Saccharomyces cerevisiae S288C: one gene and its partners. The gene in region 2 interacts genetically with the main gene of each other region. Each region holds a gene or a part of one and is shown on either strand. Other genes may lie near its edges.

Region 1 (7,897 bases), 420 kb from region 2:
CAAAGCCTTAATCAGTAGAAAGGTATAATTCACCAACTCTGCTTAGAAATTGTTTTATAGCATGTCTCAACTCCGTTGGAACGCTCTTATCTAATATTTGAATCACCAGAGCATACATAGCAGGACAGTATAGTCTAAAGTCTTCATCATCAAATTCGTAGTAACCTTGTAATATTTCAACTATCACTGAACGCCAGGCATTGATACTACGTTCCATGGTTCTATCATCCAAAGAAACATAACCCTCTACGACCTGGATGCAAATGGTGATCAGACGAGTTATTAAATCAGCCTTCTTCTCATCATCGTTCAGATACAACTGAAACATAATGTCAAGGAGAACTGCAGCAGCACTCGTTTCTTGTTTCAACAGGTTTGGTATTTTATCAACTACACGAGCCTCTACTAGTCTTGTTCTTAACCCATAATCTTCATTAAAGTCACGAGAAAATTCGTACGATTTCTCCAACAATCTTGTAATTCTAATGGCTTCCTTGTAAGGGATACAGTGGGCAAAATCTTCGTTCTCGAATAATTCGTTGAGCAGCTCTATCATCAAAAGCTGTAAAACACATTTGACAACAATAGAATTCTTGATGTTTATTCTCCTACGTATATCTTCGTTACTTTCGTTTCGTTTCATGTGCTTAGTTTTCTTGGGGATACTTAGACTAGCGGGCTTTGGATTCAATTCGTCCTTTACCGTCGGAACGGAATTGCCATTATTAAGCTTAGTTTGCCCATTGAGTGTTTCAACCATGTCACCACCAACGTCTTCGCTGGATTCTTCTTGATGCGCTCTTTCGACCGTCTCACTGATATTAGAATCGTTCTCCCTTCTGTCGTTGCTATCATCATCTGAGTGTTGGCTGGTATCATTAGTTGTTTGGTGATGAGATACAGATGATTTTCTTCCTTGCTGTAACGGATCATAATCGAACAATTCATTAGCAGTGGTTAAATCAAACAATTTATCGAATACGTCACCTATTTGATTCCAATGGTACTCATTGAATTTAGATACGTTTTGCAATATCAATTGTTGCAGGCAGGATCTCCCAATTCTAGCAATAGTGTCATTTTCTTGACAAATACAGGATACCAGCAGACCCAAAAATCCATCGAGCATTCTGTTCAACGATTCAAAGTAATGCGTAAAAAGGGCAATCAAGTTCCTTAAGGCTTGAATTAACGTGGTCGAAAGCCAAACACTTAAATCATCATGACTATTGAATTGGTTGACTTCCCAATGTTTGGATAATACACCGAAAATAGGAAATAGTAACTTCTTACAAATCTTTTCCCAGAAATCATCATTGAATTTACCACCATATGCCACTAGGGCATCGAACATATAGTTTAATGCACGTGATCTAACTTCTAAGTCTTCAGCTGTCATGATCGTATCATTGAAGCAGAATAACATAGGGAACCACACATCCTGGAATATGTCTTTCCCACGAAGTAAAGCATCGTTATGTTTTCTTTCTTCTTCAGTCTTATTTTCATTGTAAAAACAGATGTCTGCGACGTTCTGAGTCATCTTTCTTAGAGACTCCAAAGCATGTAGAGATAGCTTTTGGAATCTCTTATTTTTGGTGATTTCTCTGAAGACACCAACTAACTCAGAAAAGGCATCTTCTTGAGAGAATACGTTTTCGAAGTGATTTGTCACAATATCATTGCTAACCAGCAATTGCGTCTTTAATACAATGGATTCAGTGCTTGAGCGAGCCGTATATTGTAAGGATTCAAGAATAGGCTTCCAGCCAGATTTGATACTTTCCGATTTTGTCAATATGAAGTTCCTAAAACACTCAATAATCATTTCTTGAACTTCAGTGTTGCCACTATTTTGAACCGTGTATTCAAAAGGTTTTAAAAAATCATGTTGAAATTCAAAACCTGATAATTCCTCAATATCTAAAAATCTCATAGACAATTGACGCAGGGAATCGATAGCGAAAAATACTACTGCTAAGTTAGAGTTTGTAGCAATCTTGTTGAAAGCTTTTCCCATAACAGCCCAAAGCGGCGTCCATTCTAGTTTGATACGATCCATATTGTAGTAACATACATCGACCATTTTTTGCAAGGAAAACATTCTTGGTGTGGAAGCATTTTCAGATGATTCAATTTCTTCTAAAGATACAGCGGTTAAAGCTTTGATAAAATCAACGATAGCATTACCTGATAACTCGGAACTTTTGGTAAATATATTGTCCATCAAAACGACTAATTCACTGGAGGAAATGAATTTAGAGATTTCGGGTGATAAGGTTTGATTATGGTGTTTTTCTTGAGCCAATTCTGTGGGAGTTGCCTTCTTGCCCCAAACATCAAAGAAAGATGTATTATTGGATCTTGATGATTCGTAAGAAACTCTAGGGTTTGCAACACGAGCTTGTGCAACATCTGGAACCGTATCTCTGTCGATACCTTTGGATATCAATTGTAGTCTTTCCATTTGAGACACGACCAGCAAAATGTCCTTCCACGATCCCTCCAAGTAATTTCCTTCTGATAACGCGACTTCAAGAAGAATTACCATTGCATTGACATTTTTAACTTTGATTTCTTCAAGGTTTTGAAGGTTACAAAATTGGACTAACGCACCTACAAAGGAGGTTCTAGCATCATTGATTCTAAAAGTAGAAGCAATTTTAATTGATATTTTCAAGCCTTCTAAACACTTATTGGTTGTGTCAATGTCATCATAATCCTTAAATGGGGGGGTTAGAGCTGCTAAAAAGGACATCCATAGTGTCTCGAAAATTGATTTAACATGCTCAACGTGGGAAGCAGCATAATAGACGTCTGGGCCTCCTTTATTTTTGTTTAAATTCTTAAAGACTAATTCCGTTTTAGATGAAATTTCTTTTGAGACTTGATTATATGCCTCTCTTGTCAAATCACGAGAATTAAAGAAGTTGAAAGCAGATTGCTGTTGTTGGACAAGATTGGTATCACCTGAAAGCATTGCCTGATGCTGTTCAGAAATTAACTTGATTTCATTGTTAGCAATTTCGTTGAACAAACCTTCCAAGAAGTCTCTTGGTAAATCTCTTCCGTTGTCAATACCTTCGTTGTTTTCTAAAAACTCTTGTAAAGACATTTTATTTTTGATTTGTGACGAATGTAAATCAGTATTCAACATGATCAAAGAATACGAAAGCACATATGCAGTATCCGCCTTTGAAAAGACTCCGGGGTTTTGGTCCACAAATCTTTCCGCAAATTTCAGCATGAATCTGTCAATTTTTTGACCTTCTCCAGGCAATCTGAAACTTTGTAAAAATGACCTTAATGCGTCAACAATGGACATACCAGTGAAGTCAAACTCATCAACAAATGCGTGCATTATAGCGATGTTCTTGTCGTCTCCTTCGCCTAGATAATCCCCAACAGCGGCCATGTCGAGGCCTTCTGTTTCTAATAACCACTTGGCAATGGAAATTGGAGAATCATCTTTCAAAAATCCTTTTTTAATAAGTACTGGAATAGCTTTCTTGGGTTTATTGTTGAAAATAGCAATACATTCCGATAAAGCAGTTTTCCTTAGTTTCAAATTTTCAAATTGTGTGGGGTCGTCTGCGTCAATGTTTTGACTGCTCAATGATCTGCTTTCTTCGTCTTCATATGTTGGTTTGAAGTCATCATTACTTGTCATAATAGAAGACCTTACGTCGTTACTCAAAGATGATCTAGATTCTTGACGAGCTGAAGATGTTGTGTTTAGTAATACCTTATTAGCAGTGTGTGTGTTTGGATTTAAAGCTTTGTGAGCCCATGAGCTTAAGGAACGCAAAACTGACACAATGCAATTTAGTGACACCATTTTGAGAGCAAAATCAAGTGGAAAAAGTAAATTGACTTGACCAACATCAGGACTAGAAGACAAGTTGGAAGAAGTCAAAAGGGGCAATTGTGAGAAATTGTAGGTGGACAGGGATTTTGATATTTGTTCATCGTAGTATGATCTTTGAGTCTGAGTAATTTCCACCCTAGTTAAAGCCAATCTTGTCAAATAATCAACAGTTATTTCCATTACATTTGGCATTCCAGGGTTACAATCATAATTCAAGTAAAATTCAACTAAAGTTCTTGGGTCGTTACAAATTCGTTGAATAACACTTAAAAAATATCTCTTTTGTTGGGAGGTGGAAGTGGTTAATTCTGAAATGGGGAAGTAGATTTCTGTTAAAAAAACTGGAATTTCCTTCACGAAATCTGCTCTCAAATTAGCAATCAATAGCCACATAATTTCTAAAGTAACCTCGAAAACTGGAGCTAGAGGCGAGGCAGCATTCCTTGATAAAACAAGACGTAAATATTGTCTAATTGAATCGATAAAGCACACACGCTCCTTTCCTGGTAGAAAAATGTTGTGGGAAAGGAATACGTCAATATGATCTTTGATAATAGAGTAAATGATGTGAAGAGATAAAAGCTTTGACCTGACGGCATGTGACCTCATGTCGAGTTCTGTTTCCAAAGGTTTAGCACATATTTTCGCCATGACTCTAAACACTAAGAACGCATCTTTAACAGCTAGATCTTGGTTAGTTATGGCGATAGAATCAGGCTGTTGAGCGTCCATTAGTCTTTCCTCATCGTCATTCAACTTATCCATATTTTCCAGAGTTAAAGGAGCCGGCGTTTCTGCATTTTCAGAAGCCTCGGAAAGTTCTATGGCGGATTGTTGTTGATGATTTTTTGTCGATAAGGATACTGCTGAAGAGGTACTTTGTTTGAGATCGATTTTATCATACACCGAACTAATAATTTGTGTCAAGGTCGCCTGTGCAATACCTTGATTGGATGGGTTCAACGAAAAGACGAAAACGTTGTAGATTGTTCTGATAGCCTTTAGCAAGGAAGCACCGTGGCATAAAGAACTTGAATCCTCTTCTAAAATGCAACTAGATAAAGCTCTAACGATTTGTAGTTCCACACGGTCATCAGTGCCTTCACCTTGAAAACAGTCTGAAATAGTATCAATTGCAGCGTCTATAATTTTTTGTTTTGGAGGCGGCGTTATTCCATCGGCAGCATCTTGTCGTTGATCATTAGAGGCTAAAGAATCGGGTGGATTCACTAACAGGGTCTCGTCTAGCGATCTAAAAGAAAACAATTTTGACAGGCAATCTAAAGCCAAACTTTGAACTTTGGAGGATTTGGTACGACAGCTTGCCCTTAGTGCTTCGAATACTAGTATTGAATCCACGTAATGTGGGTTATTCGTGGTTTGCGGATCAAATTCCTTAAATTTTTGTAATGTCCTTTCGATAGCCTTCTGAGCATTCGAATTCTTTTTAATGTCCTTATCATTTAAAATTGTCTCCAACGTAGTTTTCACTAAAATTATGGTTGAGTTTGTGTTCGAACCATTTGAAGATAGTGATATGTTCCTCGTATGGGTAGACCTTGGGGCAGTAGAATCGTTGGTGGGAACACTATCTTGATGAGCGATAGCTGGTTCGCCAGCATTTTCCTCTTCTTCTTCTTCTTCTTCTTCTTCTTCTTCTTCTTCTGACCCGCTTTCATCACCAGAGGAGCTGTTTGATGTATTTCCATCGCTTTCATCAGATTCTTCATCTTCTCCAGAGCTACTCTCAGTACTTTCCCCTGAGACTGATTCAGAATCTTCCCCGTCTTCGGAACTGGTTTCGGAACTACTGCTATCCACGTCCTCATCATCCTCGTCCCCATTGTCTTCATCTTCATCTTCATCTTCATCTTCATCTTCATCTCCATCTTCACCTTCATCGTCATGGCGTTTGTCATTTGTATCTTCCGTTTCTTCGGGCGTTTTCATTCCGTTGGTAGCGTCGTTACTTGTTTCTTTTGTTTCTGCCGTACTGCCAGCGTTTTCTGGCCCTTTGCATTTTTGATCTTCACCATTTGTCTCTTTAGCTTCTTCTTTAATAGCATTCTGTGGTTTCACAGACGGATTGACTGAAGAAGCAGTCTCTACATTTGAAGATATTTCGCCATCCCCTTTTTCAGCATTTACTACTGAATTCTGTTCAGACATCAGATATAGTAGCACTTAGACTTGTTTCTTATCTTCTTTAATGGAATTCGGGGAAAAAATGAGAAAGAAACAGTTTAAGATATTACTTTTTATTGGTTCTGGAGAAACTTAAAAGAAATCGAGTATAGCTTAGTTGCAGAAAATATTTTATATTTCTCCGGAAAATGACTTCAATTTCTATTAGTCTGCGTTTATTGAACAATTGGAGAGAAGCCAATGATGCTTTTTAAAGAAATGATGTAAATCCCAACTTTGAGCTTCCTTTCTCGTTGCTTTGTTTTTCCCTCGCCTCGATATTATAAAATTTACTCGGCGCCTTGATAAAAACTAAACGTTCACCTTCTTTCCTGTAGAGGGAAAATAACAATATGTATAAGCCTTCTCCGACATCAAAAAACTGTAAGAGCTTCAAAAGTACTAAAGTGTATATCTTAAGAGCATCGTTGGCTCCACTCTAACACATCAACAAAAAATATCAATGTTGATTTGTTAGAGTAAAAATAAAAAGAGGTCCTACCCGGATTCGAACCGGGGTTGTCCGGATCAAAACCGAAAGTGATAACCACTACACTATAGGACCGACAATTCATGTTAAATCCTCCTTTTTTAGGCTTTTATAAGTTACTTTGACTAGAGATGACTAGAAATGATTATATTACACGCACACACAATACACACATAGTGTTGGAATAAAAATCCACTATCGTCTATCAACTAATAGTTATATTATCAATATATTATCATATACGGTGTTAAGATGATGACATAAGTTATGAGAAGCTGTCATCGAAGTTAGAGGAAGCTGAAGTGCAAGGATTGATAATGTAATAGGATAATGAAACATATAAAACAGAATGAGGAATAATCGTAATATTGGTATATAGAAATATAGATTCCATTATGGGGATTCCTGACCCTCGAGGAGAACTTCTAGTATATTCTGTATACCTAATATTATAGCCTTTATCAACAATGGAATCCCAACAATTATCTCAACATTCACCCATTTCTCATGGTAGCGCCTGTGCTTCGGTTACTTCTAAAGAAGTCCAAACAACTCAAGATCCGTTAGACATTTCAGCTTCCAAAACAGAAGAATGTGAGAAGGTTTTCACTCAGGCTAATTCTCAACAGCCAACAACACCTCCCTCAGCTGCTGTTCCAGAGAACCATCATCATGCCTCTCCTCAAGCTGCTCAAGTACCATTGCCACAAAATGGGCCGTACCCACAGCAGCGAATGATGACTCCCCAACAAGCCAATATTTCTGGTTGGCCAGTATACGGGCACCCATCTTTGATGCCGTATCCACCTTATCAAATGTCACCTATGTACGCTCCACCTGGAGCACAATCACAGTTTACACAATATCCACAATATGTTGGAACACATTTGAACACCCCGTCACCTGAGTCAGGTAATTCATTTCCTGATTCATCCTCAGCAAAGTCTAATATGACATCCACTAATCAACATGTCAGACCACCGCCAATCTTAACCTCACCTAATGACTTTCTAAATTGGGTTAAAATATACATCAAATTTTTACAAAATTCGAATCTCGGTGATATTATTCCGACAGCAACAAGAAAAGCCGTACGTCAGATGACTGATGACGAACTCACCTTCTTATGTCACACCTTTCAACTATTTGCTCTATCTCAATTCTTACCCACCTGGGTTAAAGACATCTTATCTGTTGATTATACAGATATCATGAAAATTCTTTCCAAAAGCATTAACAAAATGCAGTCTGATACTCAAGAGGTAAATGACATTACGACCCTAGCAAATTTGCATTATAATGGAAGTACACCTGCAGATGCATTTGAAGCAGAAGTCACAAACATTCTTGACAGA
Region 2 (2,979 bases):
TCTGAGGCATATAAAAAGCTTAATTCGGGAGCCAAAGTGTTTTTATTTTTTTCAATCAACACATCAGGAAGATTCTGTGGCGTTGCAGAAATGGTATCGGATTTGAAAATGGATTTGGACACCAGTATATGGGAAGATGAACAAAAATATGGCAAAGCCTTTAAAGTAAGATGGGTGATCGTGCGTGATATAAATAACAGATCGTTAAAAAGGTTTTTGATACCATCCAATGAAATGAAACCGATAACACATTCCAGAGATACTCAAGAAATTCCATATTCGATTGGAATTTCAATAATTAATCTATTTAAAACTCAAGATTCTGATATTTTCTCCTTCTTGGATGAGACGTATGAATAGACCTTATCCCTCATTTATCAACATTTTATTCTCATTTATTATTAGTATTATTATTATTTTTAATATTATTTTTATTTAAAATTATCCTAAAATTACTTCTACTGTTATAACATCCAATCCATAAGAAGCAAAAACAAAGTTTTCATATTAAGCCATCGTAAAGGTTTAAGGCACCAATAATAGAGGGATCGACTTTAGAACCTTCTCTGAATTCGTCCAGCGTAATGTAACCATCTTCGTTCTTATCCATCAACTTGAAGATCTTCTTTACCCTCATTTCGGGCGTTGCCTCATCCTCATTAAGTGTAACCATAGACCCCATCATTTTATAAACACTCGCCACAATGGTTAGCATTTCATCAAATGTAATATATCCATCATGGTTCAAATCATAAAGTTCGAAAGCCCAGCTCAGTTTTTCCTCCAAAGTTCCTCTGGACGTTGTACTCAAAACTGTGATAAACTCTTCAAAATGTATGAATCCATTGTTGTCTTTATCAAAAACTGTAAAAAGGTGATTAGCAAAATCTTCAGGAGAACCAAATGGAAAAAACTGTTTGTATATCTTAACAAAATCTTCCCTAGCTAGTTGGCCACTAGGGCAATCCCTCAAAAATCCTTTATGCCATTGCTGGATTTCTCTTCTATCAAAATAGGTGGATTGTTTCAAACATGTCAGGTCATCTTTGGAAAGCTTTGACGTCTTGGCTCCCATTTTTTTTTTGAATCAAAAACAGTTTTCAAGCACAAAATAACTCTCGCCGATTCTTAAACTAGCAACAATTATAAAACAGGAGGTAATATCCCTAGTTCATCAGTTCAATCGTTGACAAATTAAACATTATTTCAGTACTCTATGGTATAATAATAAAAAATACACCGAAGAGTTACCCTTTTTTCGTTTTTAATGATCAATTCTGGCTCATTTTTTTACTTCCTGAGCAGTCAACTACTACTGAAAAAAAGAGGCTAATGGGTACGCATTTACCTAAAAACAATTAGATCCCTGCCTTGGATCGTAATCTTGTTTATCTATCCTTTTTGGACATTGACATCTATTTGTGTCGCAGTTAATTGCTTTCTGGGTACGTTGACTTTTTCAGTTCTATATCGGCCCGTTGCTTACTCTGTTCAACTCACTTATTCTTTTGTTTCGGTTTGGGCTGCTGCATTTATAGATTAAAAATAAATTTCAAATTTCCACGCTAACAAATAGAGCTAAATTAGCAGTTTCATTGTTGGCTATATTTTCATTACAACTTTTGATCTGATAACGTAAAAGAATTCAAACAAAAACTATCTAAAAAAATACAAAGCAAAAATCATGTCTACTTTACAACGTCGTAGAGTCAATAGGGCGGATTCTGGAGATACTTCCTCCATTCATTCTTCTGCTAACAATACCAAAGGAGACAAAATCGCAAATATTGCTGTTGACGGGGATGATGACAATGGAACAAACAAAAAGATTGCATATGACCCAGAAGAATCGAAATTGAGAGACAACATCAATATCCCTACGTTAACGTTGATGGAAGAAGTCTTATTGATGGGCTTAAGAGATAGAGAAGGATATTTGTCGTTTTGGAATGATAGTATTTCATATGCTTTGCGTGGTTGTATAATTATAGAATTAGCGTTAAGAGGTAAAATCAGAATCTTAGATGATTCCGCCAGGAAAAGGTTCGATCTTTCCGAAAGGTTGATTGAAGTTATTGACAGTTCCAAAACTGGGGAAGTTTTACTGGATGAAACTTTGCAATTGATGAAAAACGACGAACCTTTGTCAATTTCTAACTGGATTGATCTTTTAAGTGGTGAAACATGGAACCTTTTAAAGATCAACTATCAATTGAAACAAGTAAGGGAAAGATTGGCAAAAGGTTTGGTCGATAAAGGTGTATTGAGAACAGAAATGAAAAATTTCTTTTTGTTTGACATGGCGACACACCCCATTGCAGACGCCAGCTGCAAAGAAGCCATTAAGCGCAGAGTACTTTCTGTACTCGTATCGAGGAACATGGAATTAAGTTACAATGAATATTTTCCGGAGACAACATCTTTCAAAATCATTAGAACTTTAGCTTTAATATGTGGATCATATGGGGCAAACGTATTGGAGAATGTCCTGACTACGTTGGAATATGAGAAGAGAGATAAGGCAATTAGTAGAGCTGAAGAAATAATGGCACAATTTTCGCAATACCCATTTGATTTAGAAAAGGAAACTGAGTTAGGTGTCTCCGTTAATTTAAACAAGGAAGTTAAAGAAGAGATAGAAAACAATCCTGGTCATGATTTACAATTGGAAGTTATTGCTGGTGTATTTGAAGTCTTTTCAAGAATGGATATGCTATTATGAAAATAACAACAAAAATCCTCTCTTTGAAACATAAGGAAAAGTCAAGCTTTTTTTTATAAGCCTCTAACATTAATAAACGAAATTTGTATATATGTATATACATATACGGAGTGGATAATAAATAGACCAAACTTTTTGTTATTATATACGCCCACATTCGTATTCATTGCTTTCTTGAATCCAAATGCTTTAAATATGGAGATAAAAATCCGCCATCGCCATATTTATTCAAGTAATATTTTTTAACTCTCACATCT
Region 3 (8,033 bases), on a different chromosome or scaffold from region 2:
AGTACCTATCTAATTCTGGCACTTCAGTAAGATTTATGTAATCTAGCGGAATATAAGGTGGGTCAATTCCAGGCCATTGTGTAAGATTAGTAAATTCTGTTAACCACTCTGGAAAGGGCGTTTGCATATCTACTTCCCCCATCAATGCGGTACTCCCATTTGACGCAAGGCAATTTCCCTGTTTTAGAAAAAATGCTGCGAACAGCACAGATTGTATTGTATTGAAAATTTTCATCTCTTTTCTTGTGTAAAAGTAAATCTATCACTTAATTTTGTTTCTCTATATTCCACTTTGCTTACTTCTAAGCATCTACTTTGTTAGAACTATTGGTCTTTTTGAAAACACAAAAGTAAATCAACCCACTTGTTGGTATTTTTCTCTTTTAATTGCGATTGAATGACGGCCGGTCCGGAAAATGTGACATCTGGAAAAGAGAAATGTTGAAGCTGCTTCCAAGTGCATGAGACAGAATTTTTTTTACAGAAAATAGAAAGCGTTATCTTGTTAAATATTACTAACTAGTATAGTCATTCATTTTTTTCTTCCATAGTTGTAATATCTTTATTTTTTGTAAGAATTAGCGATAGCTGAGATTGCGTTCTTCAACTTCCTGCTCTCTCTTAGTCTTCTATCCAGGGTATCTCACCTTCCTGATTATCTTGTCAATAGCCATGGCTTCGCTGTTTCTTTATTATAAGAAGTATTTTTTGTTTTCTTCAAGAAATTTTTCGTATTAATATCTTTATGTTTTGTTTGCCTTTACTGGCCAGAAATTTTATACTTATTTTGAATAGAACACATTAAGTTCTACAGGTACCTGCAAAATATCGAGACAAAAGTTTGAACGAGAATATAAGGAATGTTGGTCATAAGGCGTAAACTAACAGAAGATGGCGGTAGCAAGATGTTACCAAGGCGACAACTCGCCTAGTATGTCACAATTATCTATAATTTTATTGTTTATATATAATCAAATCAACCGAAAATTACTCTGAACTTGACTCAAGGAGAAACTATGTTATCATATTTGACATGTTCAATTGAACCTCCAGACATGGTCAATCTCACAGCTTCAGCAAATTCTTTCTCACCCTCACACAGTAACTTTGCTGCATCCTTGTTTAACGGGTCATTGGGATTAGGCTCCAAGAACAAGAAAAGAAGCCCGGTTATAATACTCTGCAAATCTAGAGCTGGCGACCAGTCTTCTCGAAGAATATTTAGGCAAACGTTCCCCTTTAAATCGATATTTGGATGAAAGATCTTCTTCAAACATACAACTTTTGGTGGTTCAATCGGATAAACTTCGTTAAAATCCAAATTGAAATTAATAGATCCATAATTATAATATCCTTCATCAGGCCTAACAATTACCTCCAATTTCGGCGATTGTGATCTATCCGCACTATCTGGTGATGTTATTACATTCAAAGTCACTGTTGGTGGGAGGTCCAGCGAATCAAGGTCCCTTTTCAAACGAATTCTTGCTGCCGATAAATTAGGCTGAATAGAACTGCTGTTTTCATTTTCTTTTTGCTTTTTCTTTTGTAATTGGCGTAATTTCAACTATTTGAATAAAGCCAAGAATATACATATCCAGTACACATATACATTCTCACCCCCCAAAAAGATTATGTTAGTATTTTCGATCGCTAAAAACCGCCAATGAGAAACGGAAAGATATAGTTGCATCTACGTACCATTTTTATTATCTTGTTTTATATTCTCTAACTGATTCTTTAATGTCTCTAAGTACATTTATGAATGATTGGCCTTTTTCATCTCATTTTACCTTTTGGCTGATATCATCAAACGGCACGCGCAGGGATGAAGGTACGTTAATAGTATTTTTTTTTTTCAAGAATACTGCGAAGATGTTTGAGTTGTGGGAAAAAACATATTCAACATTAATAACTATTGTAAATCAAGAAAAAAATTAGATCACAAAAAGATAACTACAGCAATCGAAAACGCCACTCGTTTAAGGCAGATGAGATTTACCAGAGGATTGAAAGCCTCTTCATCTTTAAGAGCGAAAGCTATTGGAAGACTAACTAAACTTTCGACGGGTGCACCAAATGATCAAAACAGTAATGGTACAACATTAGATTTGATAACTCATACATTGCCTATTTTTTATTCCACAAATACGTCAAAGATATATACTATACCACTTACATTGAGTGAATGGGAAGTACTAACTTCGCTTTGTGTTGCAATCCCTACCACGCTCGATCTGGTAGAGACAATGCTTAAAGAAATAATTGCGCCTTATTTTCTGGAAACTCCAAGACAAAGAATTTCAGATGTTCTGTCCTCGAAATTCAAGTTGGAACAGATGAGAAATCCGATTGAATTGCTAACTTTCCAGCTGACTAAGTTTATGATTCAAGCTTGTGAACAGTATCCCGTTCTTTATGAAAATATAGGCGGCATCATTTCAACTTATTTTGAGCGTGTATTAAAGATTTTTACTATTAAACAATCTGGTCTACTATCATTAGTGGGCTTTATTAATGCATTTATCCAGTTTCCCAACTCTACAGAGCTTACTAAATTCACCTGGAAAAAGTTAGCGAAACTTGTGCTTCGTGGATCATTTCTAAACGAAGTTGATAAGATTTTGAATTCCTCAGCAACGTTTACCAATGATTCAATCGTCCAGTATTACGATGCTGGAAATGAGCTATCCAGTGCCTACTTATTGGAATTAATATCTCGCTTGCAAGTTTCGCTAATATCTCATCTGTTAAACACTTCACATGTCGGCGCCAACTTGAGTGAGTTCTTACTAAATCAACAATACCAATTTTACAAATTTGATCAAGAAGTAGCCGATGAAAACGATGATACGAAGTGTATTGATGACTTTTTTTTCAACGTAAGAAGCAATAAACAGTTTTTTACAGACATGTGTAAAATTTCCCTGCAATTTTGTTCTGAGTCACATATTCTCGACCTATCTACAGACAACCGTGCAAGATTTTCTTTTGATACTCGAGCCCACTACCTACAAACGCTATGTTTAATTCCGTTTATAGAAGATACAGAAAGCGAGCTTTTTGAAAGTTTTACAAACGTTGTTTCTGAATCTATTGATAAATTTTTCTTATCTGATGTCGTTACACCATCTTTGATAAAAGCAATTGTAGCTTCTGCCTCATTACTGAATTTTTTCACGGAAAAATTGTCATTAACTCTGATTCGTATGTTTCCTTTATTGGTAGCGTCTCCACATATCACGACTGAAACAGTTAATGATGTTGCAAAAATATTCACCACAGGGTTATACCCTCTAAATGAAGATGCAATTGTGAGTACAATTTATTCCATGAACAACTTATTAGCTGTTTCCGAGGACGGATCGCCCGTCCCGGTGCTCCGTGAGCGCCAATTAACAATAACATCTGGAAAAAATATTGAGAAAGACTACTTTCCCTTGCGAAATTCATCTGCCAGTTTGGATGGCACTGGTGCTCTGCTCGGAAATACAACTGTGGGCCAACTTTCCTCCCATGATGTCAATAGTGGAGCTACTATGACATACCATGCCTCTTTGATATCTAATTGTGTGGCTGCAACGACTACAATCGCCTCATACTATAACACCCAAAGCATAACAGCTTTGACTATCTCTATTCTTACGCAAAAAGTTAATTCTATGTCAAAGGAATTAGACGGTGTTATTTTGAATTCTTTGGCAAGACTGGCTCCGAATACTTCACTGACAGAATTTTCGCTTTTACTAAAGTTCTTCAAATCGAGAACTGTTATTGCAACAAAAATTGATGATAGCGCACTATTGAAAAATATTATTAAAGCGAAATGTGTGATATCAAAAGAATTGTTGGCCAGGCATTTTTCAAGTGACTTATATTTCATGTATCTTCATGATCTATTGGACTCAATCATTGCCAGTGGGGAAGTAGAACGATTGGAACATCACAGACCTCAAACGGAGATTTCCCGTGTTGCTGATCAAATCGCTACCTACTTAGAGCCCCTCGCCGCTCTACTACCTGTTCCAGGCGATACGCCATTGGACATCAATAAGGATGAAGTCACTACAAACAAGTTTAGGAACGCCTGGTTTAATTTTGTCATCCATGGGTACCACTTGGGCGGGCCTATTGTCAAACGAAATTTTTCTTTCTTATTAACTATTGCCTATAATTCACCACCGCTGGCTTCTGAATTTCCTGCTAATAACAAGGAGCTTTCATTGGAAATGAATACAATTTTGCGCCGCGGTTCATCTAACGAAAATATCAAACAACAAAAACAGCAGATAACCGAATATTTCAATACCAATATTGTTCAGTACAGAACAACTTCATCGTCTAAAATCATGTTTTTAGCGGCTGCCGTTCTTCTAGAAACGATAAGATGCGAGGCAGGTGATTGTTCGAAGACTCTACTGTACTTCTCAGACCCCTCCATTCTTTCCGGTTCAATTGAGAAGTGTATTGCAGTTTTGTCGGTTTCCATGATTAGAAAATATGCTAGGTTGATTCAAAAGGGTAACGATGCCATATTCAACTCCAAAATGATTGCTCAACAACTTAATAACTTGCTACTTTGCCTTTCTCATAGGGAACCAACTTTGCAGGATGCCGCTTTTCATGCCTGTGAAATATTTATCAGATCTATTCCATCATCGTTATGTCATCATTTGTCTCTCTACACCTTATTAGATATGTTAACAGCCCTATTTGATAGTATCTTGGACTCAGAGGCGCATAAATTTGAACCACGGTATGAATTTAAATTAAAACATTCTAAGACAACAATATTGGTTCCAAGCTCATCGTCCTGGCGCGCTACGACACTATCAAGATTGCACAAGTCAGCTAAAGAATGGGTAAGAATTCTATTGAATAGAAGCAACCAGGATACTAAGATTTTGTTGCAATCATACATATCAGATCTCGGTGAGTACAGCAGGCTAAATTCTGTTGAATTTGGTGTCTCATTTGCCATGGATATGGCTGGTTTGATTTTACCTGCAGATAAGGAATTATCAAGGCTTACTTATTATGGTCCAGAGAAACCTAACACGATTTCTGGATTTATATCTTTACATTCTTGGAGGTCAAAATATCTTTTCGATACCGCTATTACATCATCACCAGAGGATATCAAAAGGCAAATAGGTATTTCCACTCAAAACATAAGAAAAAATTTGACCTTAGGAAATAAGATTATAACTAAAGACGTAACTGATTTTCTTGATATGGCTACCGCGTTGTTAATTCTTGGCAATGGTGCACCAGCGTCATTGATATATGATATTGTGCACATCCCGTTCGAAGTCTTCACCTCTGCATCTTTAAAGATTGCTACAAACGTATGGTTAACAATCATAACTGAGAAGCCCGAAGTTGCACATTTGCTTTTAGTTGAAGTATGCTATTGCTGGATGCGCTCCATTGATGACAATATTGGTCTCTATTCTCGCGATCATGACTTAAAGGGCGAAGAATACCAAAAAATGGAATATTCCCCTTACGACAAAGCAGGTATCAACAGAGATGCAAAAAATGCATCCCAAGCTATGCAACCACATCTTCATGTTATTAAATTTTTTGCTTCCCATTTCGAGGGCACACTATTTCAAAGTGACTTTTTATTGAAAATTTTCACGAAATGTGCGCTTTATGGTATCAAGAATCTGTATAAGGCTTCACTACACCCGTTCGCTAGAATGATTCGCCACGAATTATTGTTATTCGCGACTCTCGTACTAAACGCAAGTTATAAGCAGGGATCCAAGTATATGGGCCGTTTGTCGCAAGAAATCACAAACGGTGCCCTAAGTTGGTTTAAAAGACCAGTAGCGTGGCCATTCGGCTCAAATGAGCTGAAAATCAAAGCAGATTTATCTGTTACTAGGGACCTTTTCCTTCAGCTCAACAAATTAAGCTCGCTAATGTCACGTCATTGCGGGAAAGATTACAAGATCCTGAACTATTTCTTGGCAAGCGAAATCCAGCAGATTCAAACCTGGCTTACTCCGACTGAGAAGATTGAAGGAGCCGACAGCAACGAGCTTACAAGCGATATCGTTGAAGCTACCTTTGCTAAAGATCCAACATTAGCAATAAATCTCTTACAACGATGTTATAGCAAGAAAGCTGAGGATGTTTTAGTGGGCTTAGTTGCAAAACATGCTTTAATGTGTGTGGGGTCCCCAAGTGCTCTTGACCTGTTCATAAAAGGAAGCCACCTGAGCAGTAAGAAAGACCTACACGCAACCTTATACTGGGCGCCAGTGAGCCCGTTAAAATCTATCAACCTTTTCCTTCCCGAATGGCAAGGTAATTCTTTTATCTTACAATTCAGCATATATTCGTTGGAATCACAAGATGTGAACTTGGCATTCTTCTATGTTCCTCAAATCGTACAATGTTTGAGATACGATAAAACCGGATATGTCGAAAGATTGATTTTGGATACTGCGAAAATTAGTGTGTTATTTTCTCATCAAATAATCTGGAATATGCTTGCAAACTGCTACAAGGATGATGAAGGTATACAAGAAGATGAAATCAAACCAACTCTAGATCGTATTAGGGAGCGTATGGTTTCAAGTTTCAGCCAATCTCATCGCGATTTTTACGAACGTGAATTTGAATTCTTCGACGAAGTAACTGGCATATCTGGTAAGTTGAAACCATACATAAAAAAAAGTAAGGCTGAAAAGAAACATAAGATCGATGAAGAAATGAGCAAAATTGAGGTGAAACCTGATGTTTATTTACCTTCTAATCCTGACGGTGTAGTTATTGATATTGATCGGAAGAGTGGTAAGCCACTTCAATCTCACGCAAAGGCGCCTTTTATGGCGACCTTTAAAATAAAGAAAGACGTAAAAGATCCTTTGACAGGTAAAAACAAGGAAGTTGAAAAATGGCAAGCTGCTATCTTCAAAGTCGGTGATGACTGTAGGCAAGATGTTCTAGCGTTACAATTGATCTCGCTATTTAGAACCATTTGGTCTAGTATTGGCTTGGATGTCTACGTTTTTCCCTACAGAGTTACTGCGACGGCACCGGGTTGTGGTGTCATCGATGTGCTACCCAATTCGGTATCCCGTGATATGTTAGGACGTGAAGCTGTTAATGGATTATATGAATATTTCACTAGTAAATTTGGTAATGAATCTACTATCGAATTTCAAAACGCACGAAACAACTTTGTTAAATCCTTAGCGGGATATAGCGTAATTTCGTATTTGTTGCAATTCAAGGATAGACATAATGGTAACATTATGTACGATGATCAAGGACATTGTCTACATATCGATTTTGGGTTTATTTTTGATATTGTCCCAGGTGGTATCAAGTTTGAAGCAGTACCATTCAAGCTGACGAAAGAAATGGTTAAAGTGATGGGAGGTTCGCCCCAGACCCCAGCGTATCTGGACTTTGAAGAACTTTGTATCAAGGCATATCTAGCCGCCCGTCCGCACGTGGAGGCCATAATTGAGTGTGTAAATCCTATGTTAGGAAGCGGTCTCCCCTGCTTTAAGGGTCACAAGACAATTAGGAATCTAAGAGCAAGATTTCAACCTCAAAAAACCGATCACGAAGCTGCACTATATATGAAGGCGCTAATCCGTAAAAGTTATGAAAGTATATTCACTAAAGGTTATGATGAATTCCAAAGGCTCACAAATGGCATTCCGTACTGATATACTTCGCACTTTACATATGCTTATATAAAAATACCAGTTTCCCATCGTCAATTACGCAGACGTAGCCTTCGTTTATTTTCTCTCTTTTTGTATATCATTGTATTAATCATAATCCATTGTATTTTACTTTGTCTTATCTGGCTTTAATGAATGACGCCGGTCACACGCGGGTGCCTGATTCTCGATTGTGCCAAGCCATTTGGGCACGGTGTCAAATTACCTAAAAAATGGCCGAGAGCCGCAAAAGGGAGGTCCGCGGGGCCGGGCAATACCCTTTGTTTTTCGAGCATTTCGGCGCCGAAATCGGCAAAGGTCCTGACCAATCAATAGAGAAAT
Region 4 (3,077 bases), on a different chromosome or scaffold from region 2:
TGCCACATCCTGAAAGAGTTTGCAGATTGGAGGCCAATTCCTGGTATCCAGAGGGCAAATACGAAGAGTGGGGTGGATACGGTCCATGGATTAGATTATTCAGATCTGCCAGAAGATGGGTCGGTTGAAAGATTTTTGTAGTTTTTGTATATGTAGTTTTTAAGTTTGAATAATAATTAGAAAGAAGCTGTCTTTTATTTATAGCATTTAATAATGGGTTTGCTTGTTAAAAATTTATCATAAATAGTATGTATATATATATATATATATATGGATATGTATACGTGGTAATGAACGTGTATACATATATTTAAAAGATTGCAATATAGTTTTTAGAATTAACCTGAATTAATTTAAAAATCATATATTAAAATAAACAATTGTGAAGGTAAAAAGAAAGAGTTAGGGGAGGTCAAACAAAGTAAAAAAAAAAAAAAGGAAAAAAAGCGGTTCGAAATTTATTTCATTTTATACGTTTTTTTGTTGTTTTTCTTTTTTTTTTTTTTGAAGTATGTTTCTTCTCTTAGTTAGTCTTCTTTTGAGCATTGTTTTCAGCTCTCTTCTTCATTCTTTCTTCTCTGGAGGCCTTAGCTTCTGGACCAGATTCAGTGTCTAGACAGTAATCCCACCATCTGAAAGAGGAAGCGTAGTTACCAATAAAGTAGTGATGATGCAAATCGTGGTGTTCAGCGCCAGCCCAGAATGGCATGATCTTGTTCAAAGACCATGGGAAGTCATAACCAGAATGAGAGTCAACAGCTTGGAATAATCTTAGGGTGATCCATACACATAGAGTGAACAAGTGTAATTTACCAGTGTACATGACGTAAAGAATTGGCATACCAACGGTACCAAAACCCAAAGACAAAGTTTCAGCAGGATGAGCATATTCAGCAGAAAGACCGAATGGAGCAGCGTATCTGTGATGTTGCTTGTGAATGTACTTGTAGAAGACACCGTAGTGGAATAGACGGTGAGCCCAGTAATGCCATGTATCTTCCAAGACGAAGAATAGACCAATTTCTAGAGCCATTGTTTTCAAAGATGGGAATGGAACTTCGACAGTAATACCTAATTTTTCACACATTGGGTGGAAGGTCCAGATAGGGATGGCCTCGACCAAGAAATGAGATAGAAGAACGGATTTCAAACAGTATAGTTGTTCCTTAGCACTTGGAATCTTAGTTGGTTGTAACTTCCATCTTCTAAAGTATGGAATTTGGTCGATGATGAACCATGGCAAACATCTAAAGAAATACATAAATTCATGCAATAAAAAGAACATTAGACCGGTGGCCAAAACATCATTGTTCATGTAACTGTACCATGCGGCCCAGTATTTCTCCATGAAATTCAATTGAGGTTGGTAATGGGCGACATTTTGCAAAGTTTGTGAGTAGGTGCTTGCTTGGACTAGACCTGAAAGGGTAGCGTTGTTGAAAACGGCAGACATCTTTTCCTCTTTTTTTTATGGCTGTACTACTTTTCCTTAGTCCTCTATGCTACTATCTAAAGAGAAAAAGTTACAACTAATATAAAGATTTACTGGAAGGAAAGAAACGAAGAGAGAGAAAAAAGGGAGAGAAGAAGAGAAGAAGAAAAAAAAGAATAGATCCTCCTGTATTATATATTATATAGAAGTATGCATACACAGGCGTACGCATACAAGAAAATGTACATGCATAACGGATTAATCGTGTGTATATAGTTTAAACTGCGCAGAGAATGAATAATAATAATACGACCACAGCAGAGGCGAGGCAAGCAAGAAAAAAAAAATTGGTGGGAAAGCGATGCGATACGGTGGCAAAGGGCCTCTTCCTCGACGGTTTTGTGCCAGGTGCCTTGAGGTTGCTGACTGTTATCGGTCATTGTTAGTTGCTATTGTCCTAGTGCTAGTCGTTTACCGTATACGATCTCTGTGTCCCGTATACGAAGGGAGGCAGTGGTAGTGGCAGTGGCCGTTGCGGAGCTGGCTAAACGACATCTGGGCGTAAACGACACCCGATAACTGGCTCTGCTCTTTCCTGCGAGATGGTTCTATCGGACCAAGGCCCAAACGGGTTTAAACGGCTGCCCTCCGCACCCGCACGTGACTACACCGGGTAACGAATGGATTGCGTAATATACCGATTTTTACTTTTTACACTTTTTTGTTTCCTATACGACGCGGACGAAGAGAAAGTCTTCTGCGCCAAGGCCGAAAAGAAAAATTTGAAGAAAACATTCTCAGATGCGAATCTACTTTTACATCATCTTCTACGTAGGCCCTTTTTTAGTTCCTTTTTTTTTTCTCCCTCGGTCTGTTTAATCATAGTAAAATCAGATATTGTCAAAAATTGTATTCATTGAATGGAGAGTACTTAAACTTCACATCCTAACATTAGAGATGCCAGAAAAAACATATAGGTATAAGTGAAATCATCATTATGATAAACGAGACGGATGAAAGGAGAAAAAACTGAAAAGAAAAAAAGGGCGGATTGACAATTCAAGAAAAAGGCAAAAAGTAAAGGAAGGTAACATCACTTGATATCGCACCCTTCTTTGCATTGCCTTGTGGTTACCGTACCACTCTTGCTTATGATTTTTTTTTCTTTTTGCGCGCGCTAGGCTGAAATGTAGAGGTTCAAGGTATGATAACAGCGGACAAAGGTATATGATGTCGCGCATTTGATGCCTTAAATACAATTTTTTTTTTTCCCTCCTCCGTCGAAAAAACGCTGTGAAGAATAAAAAAAAATTGTATTTTGTATTACCCGGATTTACTTTAGTCTCACATTGTATTGTTAGGGTTTTGCTACTTATGGTAAAACTGCCGCTAAAAAAATATTCATTTCTATCCTAATTGTATTTTTATTATGTAGAGCAAAGCTTGCGCGAAATTATTGGCTTTTTTTTTTTTTTAATTAATACTACCTTTTGATGTGAACGTTTACTAAAGTAGCACTATCTGTGGAATGGCTGTTGGAACTTTTTCCGATTAACAGCTTGTATTCCAAGTCCTGACATTCCAGTTGTAAGTTTTCCAACTTGTGATTCAATTGTTCAATCTCTTGGTTAAAATTCTCTTGTTC

The links.
Region 1: mutations in FRQ1 (region 2) and SEC7 together harm fitness more than expected from each alone (negative genetic interaction), as found in Saccharomyces cerevisiae (2 studies listed by BioGRID).
Region 3: mutations in FRQ1 (region 2) and STT4 together harm fitness more than expected from each alone (negative genetic interaction), as found in Saccharomyces cerevisiae (2 studies listed by BioGRID).
Region 4: mutations in FRQ1 (region 2) and ERG25 together harm fitness more than expected from each alone (negative genetic interaction), as found in Saccharomyces cerevisiae (2 studies listed by BioGRID).

Annotation. Positions count from the first base shown.
Region 1 is NC_001136.10:796,186-804,082, forward strand, and holds SEC7 (Arf family guanine nucleotide exchange factor SEC7), read right to left. Parts: upstream 6,038-7,897; coding exon 8-6,037; downstream 1-7. Other genes in the region: YDR170W-A (gag protein), read left to right, coding at 7,010-7,897. UniProt on the Saccharomyces cerevisiae protein: Guanine exchange factor that acts as an activator of ARF1 at the trans-Golgi network and is thus involved in vesicular budding and traffic between compartments of the Golgi apparatus.
Region 2 is NC_001136.10:1,220,855-1,223,833, reverse strand, and holds FRQ1 (frequenin), read right to left. Parts: upstream 1,076-2,979; coding exon 503-1,075; downstream 1-502. Other genes in the region: PHO92 (mRNA-binding phosphate metabolism regulator), read left to right, coding at 1-360; VPS74 (Vps74p), read left to right, coding at 1,685-2,722; CTS2 (putative chitinase), read right to left, coding at 2,886-2,979.
Region 3 is NC_001144.5:737,822-745,854, reverse strand, and holds STT4 (1-phosphatidylinositol 4-kinase STT4), read left to right. Parts: upstream 1-1,991; coding exon 1,992-7,694; downstream 7,695-8,033. Other genes in the region: chitin deacetylase CDA1, read right to left, coding at 1-235; NEDD8-conjugating protein UBC12, read right to left, coding at 1,004-1,567, 1,702-1,704. UniProt on the Saccharomyces cerevisiae protein: Acts on phosphatidylinositol (PI) in the first committed step in the production of the second messenger inositol 1,4,5,-trisphosphate. STT4 functions in PKC1 protein kinase pathway.
Region 4 is NC_001139.9:608,940-612,016, reverse strand, and holds ERG25 (methylsterol monooxygenase), read right to left. Parts: upstream 1,454-3,077; coding exon 524-1,453; downstream 1-523. Other genes in the region: ADE6 (phosphoribosylformylglycinamidine synthase), read left to right, coding at 1-128; septin SPR3, read right to left, coding at 2,916-3,077.